Ovis aries: one gene and its partner. The protein of the gene in region 1 interacts with the protein of each later gene in a biochemical or structural test. Links are inferred from orthologs where the notes say so. Each region holds a gene or a part of one and is shown in the gene's direction. Other genes may lie near its edges.

Region 1 (4,543 bases):
CTGGGGACGAGGGTTTTGCATGTGCTTTTATATCCCTCTTGGAGGACCCACACCTGTCCCAGTTGCTGAGTTCCACCACCGAGTTCCTATTCTGGGAACACTTGAGCACATCAGAAAAATGAGTGGTTCCATTCTGGCTCACACCACATCACTGATGTACCCCTTAAAGCATGTCCCTGAGTTCATTGCAGAAAATTGTTCCTCCTTGTACCTTCCACAGCAAGGTTAGAACTGTTCCCCCCAGGGGAAAAAACAGTGAGAAGCACCAACTTAATAACCTCCTCTGACCCCTACTCCACCTTTACCATAAGTAGATCCAAATCCTTCTAGAAAATCAGAAAGACAGATCCCCCGTGTATCAGTGTATCAGCGGTATAAATAGAATCGCTCAGCAGGCTCTGGTGGACGGTGACTCTCCAAGGTGGATTGGGAATCAGCTGGCCTTGGCTGGGCATCACCCTCTAAATATAACGATGAGTTTGTTCAGCCTTTGCAGAAGGGAAAGGTTTTGCCCATCCTAGAGCGCGATGCCCTTGTCCTCTTTACAGGGAGGAGAGACTGGTGAGGCGTCGTCTAGTAAGAGCACCTCTCAGTTCCCACCCTAGGGCTGTGACACTTGCCTTTCCTGCCCAGGACTGGGGCATCGGTGAGCCCCGCCAAGGATGCGGGAGTGGGGTGCTCGGCTCAGCCTGCCATACTCCGGAGCCGGGCAGGTAGTCACTCAACTTCTCTCCCTTCCTGAGCTCCCGAGCCCACAGCGCGTCCCCGAGGCGGGCAGCGCTGGGGGGCCTGGCTCAGTGCCAGAGGCTGCGAGAGCCCAGAGCCGCTGCCCAGCGCCTCCTCCCCGACTCTCCACAGTTGTCCTGGCGACAGCTGCGCGCCCGCCGGCCGCTGGTGGCCCTCTCCGGTGGGGGTGGGGGCCGGCGGCGTCAGCCCTCTGGGCTGGGGAGCTCGGGCTTGGGGGAGAGGCCGAGTTCGCTGGGAATCTGGGGGGAATCTGCCTCCCCTGCCCGGGACTCCGGGATTGACCGCGTCTCCGGTCCTCTTGGCCCCACCACTAGGATACAGAGCCCTCCTCGGTGGAGTCACACTTGAGTTGGGGGGTAAAGAACCCGAACGAAGCAGAGGTGAAATGCGGGCGCACCTTCCCGAGGCTCCGAGAGCCCCGACTGGCCGGGGGCGGGGCGGCTGCGGACAGGTGCAGCCCGGGCGCAGGCCCACTGCGCGCCCCGCTCGCTCGGTGACCCTCGCCGCACCCCAGCCCCTCCGCCAGGCGGCGGGGCGGGGGCGGGCGGGGCCGACCGCCGGGCAGACGCTCCATATACGGCCCGGCCCGCGTTACCTGGGCTCAGGCCAGGCCTCTCCTTCTTTGGTCAGCGCAGGGGACCCGGGCGGGGACCCAGGCCTCGAACTGGTCAGGGGAGGGGGCTCTAGTGCCCGACACCCAAATATGGCTTGAGAAGGGGAGCGACATTCCTGCGGGGCGGCGCGAGGGGCGCGCCCGAGGGCTATATAAAACCTGAGCAGGGGGACGAGCGGCCACCGCAGCGGACAGCGCCGAGAAGTCTCGCTTCCTTCCCACGGTGACCGGGACCGGAGCCGGAGAGCCGCAGGTGTAGCCACCCGCCCAGGTAGGCAGGGGCGGGGTGGGGACAGGAGGACAGGCCCCACGCGGCAGCCGGGAGAACTCCGGGTAGAGTGCGGCCCACTCACTGCATCAGCCCCAGCCCCGCGCCCTGTGAGCCGGCCTCTGGCCCCAGAGCCCCGTGTGCTTTAAAGAAGAGACAGGAGGCCGGGTCCTTTGGAAAGATCTCCAAATTTATTCCCAGCCCTTTGGGGGCAGCTCTCCCTGACACTTCGTGCGTGCCGAGGCAGATGAAAGGTTTTGCTGTAGTCCTCCCCAGGGTAGTTCCTTCCCAACAGAACCAAAGGGCAGTAGAAGGGACAGTATCCCCTGGCTCGCCATCACAGCCAAGGGCGTTTCGGCTGTGAGTCTGAAGTGCCATGGAGGTCCAAAATAAGCCATTCGTGCTCTGGCGGAGTACCCACGCCCTTTCCACGGCGTCTCCTTCCACCCTCACAGTGGCCCAGCAATCAGGGTTCACGGACCTTGACCCCCATGCGACGCCAGGGAGGGGCGGAGAGGGCGGTGCCTGCAGCGAAGGCAGAGAGCTCTGGGGTCCGTGTGTCCTGAGTTCCCAGGTGGAGAAACGCTCTCTGCGGTCTCCTCGCAGTAGAGCTCCCAGCAGCGAAGCTCCGCCCGCGCGGCTTTGACTGCTCCCCCGGCAGGATGGCGCCGGGCTGGGGGCTGGAGGCTGGAGGTGTCCATAGGTCCCCCGGGAGGGAGGGCGCTCCAGCCAGCGGGGCCTCGTGCCTGAAACACTGAGCGTCTCCATGGCATTCCTGTCCTTGCAGAAACCAGACACCATGTGTGACGAAGACGAGACCACCGCCCTCGTGTGCGACAATGGCTCTGGCCTGGTGAAAGCCGGCTTCGCCGGCGACGACGCCCCTAGGGCCGTGTTCCCGTCCATCGTGGGCCGCCCTCGTCACCAGGTCAGGCTGCCGGTTCCCGGAGGGAGCCAGGCCGGGTCCCCACGCGGCCTAGCCCCGCTCCACTGGGAACCTCGGTAATGAGAGCTTGGTATATCCGCTCCGCAGGGCGTCATGGTGGGCATGGGGCAGAAAGATTCCTACGTGGGAGACGAGGCGCAGAGCAAGAGGGGTATCCTGACCCTCAAGTACCCCATCGAGCACGGCATCATCACCAACTGGGACGACATGGAGAAGATCTGGCACCACACCTTCTACAACGAGCTCCGCGTGGCCCCCGAGGAGCACCCCACCCTGCTCACCGAGGCGCCCCTCAACCCCAAGGCCAACCGCGAGAAGATGACCCAGATCATGTTTGAGACCTTCAACGTTCCGGCCATGTACGTGGCCATCCAGGCAGTGCTGTCCCTTTACGCCTCCGGCCGTACCACCGGTGAGAGCCCAGGAGCCCCCGCCCCCTCTTCCCGAGCGCCTGGCCGCTCCCCGAGCGCCCAGCAGAGCGCAGCCGCTCACCTCCGACTCCACCCTCGCGCAGGTATCGTGCTCGACTCCGGCGACGGCGTCACCCACAATGTGCCCATCTATGAGGGCTACGCGCTGCCGCACGCCATCATGCGTCTGGACCTGGCTGGCCGCGATCTCACCGACTACCTTATGAAGATCCTCACCGAGCGTGGCTACTCCTTCGTGACCACAGGTGCGCGGCGCCGCGGGCTCCCCAGGCGGGTGGGCCGGCAGACGGTGCGCTGCCCCCGGGACCCCGCGCTGAGGGCTCCTCTCCCGCCCCGCTCCCCGCAGCTGAGCGCGAGATCGTGCGCGACATCAAGGAGAAGCTGTGCTACGTGGCCTTGGACTTTGAGAACGAAATGGCCACCGCCGCCTCCTCCTCCTCCCTGGAGAAGAGCTACGAGCTGCCCGACGGTCAGGTCATCACCATCGGCAACGAGCGCTTCCGCTGCCCGGAGACGCTCTTCCAGCCCTCATTCATTGGTGAGCCCCGCGCAGCCGCCATCCGGCCCGTGCCAGCCCCGCGGGCCCCCCGGGCCTCCCGCCCTCTGTCTCACGTTCCCCTCCGCGGCCCCCAGGCATGGAATCGGCGGGCATCCACGAGACCACCTACAACAGCATCATGAAGTGCGACATCGACATCCGGAAGGACCTGTACGCCAACAACGTCATGTCTGGGGGCACCACCATGTACCCGGGCATCGCCGACCGCATGCAGAAGGAGATCACCGCCCTGGCCCCCAGCACCATGAAGATCAAGGTGGGTGGCGCCCTCGCCCAAGCCGCGGCCTGTGACGGGCTCCCGGCCGCGACCGCGCCCCTGACAGGTCCTCACTGTCTTACAGATCATCGCCCCACCTGAGCGCAAGTATTCCGTGTGGATCGGCGGCTCCATCCTGGCTTCGCTGTCCACCTTCCAGCAGATGTGGATCACCAAGCAGGAGTACGACGAGGCCGGCCCCTCCATCGTCCACCGCAAATGCTTCTAGACGCCTCTCCGACAGCCGCGACTTCTCCCCAGGACGACGAATCTGCTCGCGGCGCAGGCGGCTGACCTCGAGCCACCGCGCGCAGCTGCTCTCCAACCATCAGCGTTGCCGCTGCCGCAAACTGACACACTGTTTATAATGTGTACATACATTGTTTACCTCATTTTGTTATTTTTAAAACGAAGCCCTGTGGAAGGAAATGGAAAACTTGAAGCATTAAACTCAGCCGTTCTGTTTTGCTGCGTAAAGTTGTCTGTTGTGTTTATTTGCGGGGGCGGGGAGCTGCGGGGTAGGGGAGTAAAAGGGACTCCGTCTTCCTCCGTCACTTTTCACAATACTCTAAATGAGTGCAGGCCTTACAAGGCCTTGAGTTCAGTCTTCCGCAGCTCACGGCCCTCCCCTCTGGCTCAGATCTATTCCTCAGACTGGCACCCGCGCGGTGGCCCGACTTGACCTCCGGCGTGTCCCCTGTGCAGGGCTCTCGGCCGGAGGCG
Region 2 (3,690 bases), on another chromosome or scaffold:
TGTTATATAATCATTATTTTCTTACAGGGCCCTCAATTGACAAGGGAATTATCATCTTTCATTCAAAAAGGACAAGAACTATGTGCTGATTATTCAGAAAACACATTTACTGAGTACAAGAAAAAGTAAGAGTCTTATTCTGGCTGATTCCTTCAAATTTATAAATAATAATAGCCTGGTATTGTGATTTGAAGCAGGGCTGAAGACTTAAGATGTGTCAAGTGAGCAGTGAAAAGAGGAGATGCAATTTAAGAGTTGTAAAGAATAGTCAATCTAATACCTATATAAGAAAAAACAGTTCTTTTCTGGGGGGATGTCATGTATATCAGATGAGAGGTCAGTTAGAACGCAGTCACAGAAACATGAATTCCAAGATCCACAGGGACACGATTTAAAGAATATATAATTAATTCATATTAACACTCTTACCATAAAGTTATCTGTAGTTGTTGCTATACATAACAGAGAAACTAAAACTGCAGAAAAATATTATCTAACTTCATGGCTTATTGTCTGATAAGATGACCCAAACTTTCAATCAAGTACGGCGTCATCCATTACCAGTATATATTCTCTAAAAACTGGAAATAGAAATGTTAGTCAATAAGGTACAATCGCCATTTTTCTCAAGTCAAAGGAGGAAGCATGTCTTTATAGATAGGTGTTAATACTAAAATAACAGGTCATAACAAAAGTTTTATTGGCTTCCTAGAAAATCTCTCTGTAAGATCATGCCATTCTCAATTTCATTAAGCAAATTTCTTAGATCCATTTCAAACCATCAACAACACAACCCTCAAATAAGCACAAATACAACCTCATAAAAAAACCTTTTAAAGAATCCCAAAAGGAGGAAAACTGCAGTGACCCCTATGAAGACCTTAACAAAGTCTAAAAGAAAAATAAATGCGAAAGCCTTAAGTTCAAAATGGTTGTTTCTCATTTATCAGGAGATTATATAATTAATAAATTATGGAGGTGGTATAGAACATTACGGATAATACAAAATTGAGTCCCCTGCCAACAGTTTTGTTTTGAACTCTAGGGTTACATGGGACAATTCTGTGATAATTTATATAATCTCAGTACGTTAAAAGTGTTAATGCAGTAGAATTGCTATTTGGGATTTTGAAGTAGAAAAGATTGAAACTATTGAGTCTAGGTATTTAAAATCCCACACACCCTCTTTTTCTCCCTATCCTCTGAGTTGCATCTAGTCTGACTTCCTTGGGACCTACTATTTTCAATAACTCTTTAATAAGCAAGCGAATCCCCCTCACCCTTCTGTCCTTTCCCAGCATCCATTATGGTAATCCCAACTCTAGATAAATTTGGGTCTCCATTATGTCCCAATGCCCACTACTGGGCTGGCAAGTATCAATATTTCTTGGAAAAGTCATAAACCAGGCTGAGTTATCCATTATGAGGAGAGAGAGTTAATTCAAACTGGGAGGGACCATTCAAAATGGGAGGGAATCAAGAAAGTCAGATCCTAGCACCATCTTAAGTGGAGATGGAGAGTTCATAAAAAGCAGGGCTTAAAAAACACAAAGACCTTGCTGTGCCTTCCAGCATAGCTAGTTGAGTAGCAGGCAAACAGAAGAGATTATATATGAGAGAAAGTACATTAAGGTGACAAAGTCCTATATGGGAAGTAGTCTTTGAGGAGTTTGAAATCTAGAAGTGGAGAGAAGATGAAAGATTAGGGAGAAGAGAGGAGGAAGTCATCCATGTGATTGATATAACTGAGTGAATGAAAGGGAAAATAATAGGAATTCAAATTCAGCAGCAGGTTGTATGTTTACTTTTATGATCTAAAAAGACATAGATTTCACTTCCTAATCTTCAACTGAGACATCAAAAATCATTCCACAGATACTAAGTTTTCTTAAGGGTCACTATTTTCCTTTTTTGTTGTTGCTGTTGCAAAAGATCTGAAGTGGCTACCAATTGCACTGGACATGTTTATAGAATACATCTATTAGAACTTTACATAAAATTGGCCTTTCAGATTGGCAGAGCGGCTAAGAGGAAAATTTCCTGATGCCACGGAGACGGATCTCCAAGAGCTGGTTGCCAAGCTCTCAGACTTTGCCTCCAAGTGCTGTTCTATAAACTCACCTCCTCTCTACTGCAGTTCAGAGGTAAGAAAATTTAATGTTCTACTTATCCCTGCATAGTATGAAGAACTGGTATGGTCAGAATTGCTCATTTGTTATTGATTGCCTGTCCTACTCATGGGAAATGTCTTGTTGGTCTTTTCAGACACAGGTATCCTGTTTGTTCATATCCTCCATTTGACTCTTTATTTTCCAGCAGTTATTTCAGAATGCTATATTACAAGTCAAAAAAGATAAGGTCATTTCATTTCACTTTATGGCTAATTCAGAAGTAGTAATGACAATTCCAAGGATTTTGATGTTTCACCTGTTATATTTCTGGAATATAGAGGCAGGGTTAAGAACAGCTCTATGCCATGCTAAAACAGATTCTTCCTTGGCTCACCTTTCTAAAGTTCATGTATTCCTTTTGATTGGATTATACTATTGTTTATTTTGTAGTCTATTGGGAAGGAAATACTTATGGTCCATTTTGGACCCATCATTTTTATATCTATACATAAAAATAATTTTACTATGGTGTTAAAGTTAATACTACTTATGCCAGGGATTTCAGGTCAATTAGAAGTCCTTTTCTATAAATTAAAGGATTTTTTAAGAATTTATATGAATTTTTATGCAATTAAACCATGAAAACAACAAGCCTGATTTAATTCTGTGGATCAAGAAGATCCCCTGGAGAAGGGAATGGCTACTCACTCCAATATTCTTGCCTGGAGAATTCCATGCACAGAGGAACCTGGCAAGTTACAGTCCATGGGGTGGCAGAGTCAGATACAACTGAGTGACTAACACTTTCACTTCATTTTTCTATTATTATTCTAGTAGAGCACATCTGAAGATACCTAAGAACTTAATAAGAAATAAAATGTTTATATGAAGAAAACTATAAAGGTCGTTTAGTGTAACTTTTCACTCAGTTCATCCCTGCCAGAGGTCATTCGGCCTCCATTTAAATATCTGAAATTTGTTTTCTCCTAGAGGCAGCCTATTTCACTGCCCAGTAGCTTGATTTATGATACCTTTTTTTTCTCTGAAACATGATATTCCCCTCATAATTTCTGCTGAGTCTGGTCTGGCTTTCTCTACCAACTAGAAAATGTATTTTCTCGGTTCTCTGGTAGAGGTTCTTTTCTATTTCAACTGGTTTTCTGAAAGTTAGGGCTGTCAAAATTTTGTTTGTATTTAAGTCTTGGTTACACATTCTAATTCTTTTACATATTTTGGTGGTTTTATTTTTTATCATTCTGTGTGTGTGTGTGTGGTGTGTCTGTGTGTTAGTTGCTCAGCTGTGTCCGACTCTGTGCGACCCCATGGACTGTAGTCCACTAGGCTCCTCTGTCCATGGAATCTTCCAGACAAGAACACCAGAGTGAGTTGCCATTTCCTCCCCCAGGGGATCTTTCCCACCTAGGGATCTAACTGGGTCTCCTTCAATGCAGGCATATTTTTCACCATCTGAGCCTTTTTACCTTATCAATTTAACAAGCTGAGCTATATCACATTACTCATTTTTGTGCTCTATACCCTTGGAAATTATAATTTCCCCTCCAGTTTCAATGCATACCCT

What was found.
Region 2: the proteins of ACTA1 (region 1) and GC are reported together in a solved structure, tested with the Homo sapiens proteins (2 studies listed by BioGRID and IntAct). The link is inferred for Ovis aries from reciprocal best matches to the Homo sapiens genes ACTA1 and GC.

Annotation. Positions count from the first base shown.
Region 1 is NC_056078.1:961,705-966,247, reverse strand, and holds ACTA1 (actin, alpha skeletal muscle), read left to right. Parts: upstream 1-1,541; 5' UTR 1,542-1,631; intron 1,632-2,415; 5' UTR 2,416-2,427; coding exon 2,428-2,556; intron 2,557-2,661; coding exon 2,662-2,986; intron 2,987-3,088; coding exon 3,089-3,250; intron 3,251-3,351; coding exon 3,352-3,543; intron 3,544-3,638; coding exon 3,639-3,820; intron 3,821-3,905; coding exon 3,906-4,049; 3' UTR 4,050-4,297; downstream 4,298-4,543. UniProt on the Homo sapiens protein: Actins are highly conserved proteins that are involved in various types of cell motility and are ubiquitously expressed in all eukaryotic cells.
Region 2 is NC_056059.1:87,719,640-87,723,329, reverse strand, and holds part of GC (vitamin D-binding protein), read left to right. Parts: exon of another isoform or gene 1-27; coding exon 28-125; intron 126-2,011; coding exon 2,012-2,180; 3' UTR 2,181-3,690. UniProt on the Homo sapiens protein: Involved in vitamin D transport and storage, scavenging of extracellular G-actin, enhancement of the chemotactic activity of C5 alpha for neutrophils in inflammation and macrophage activation.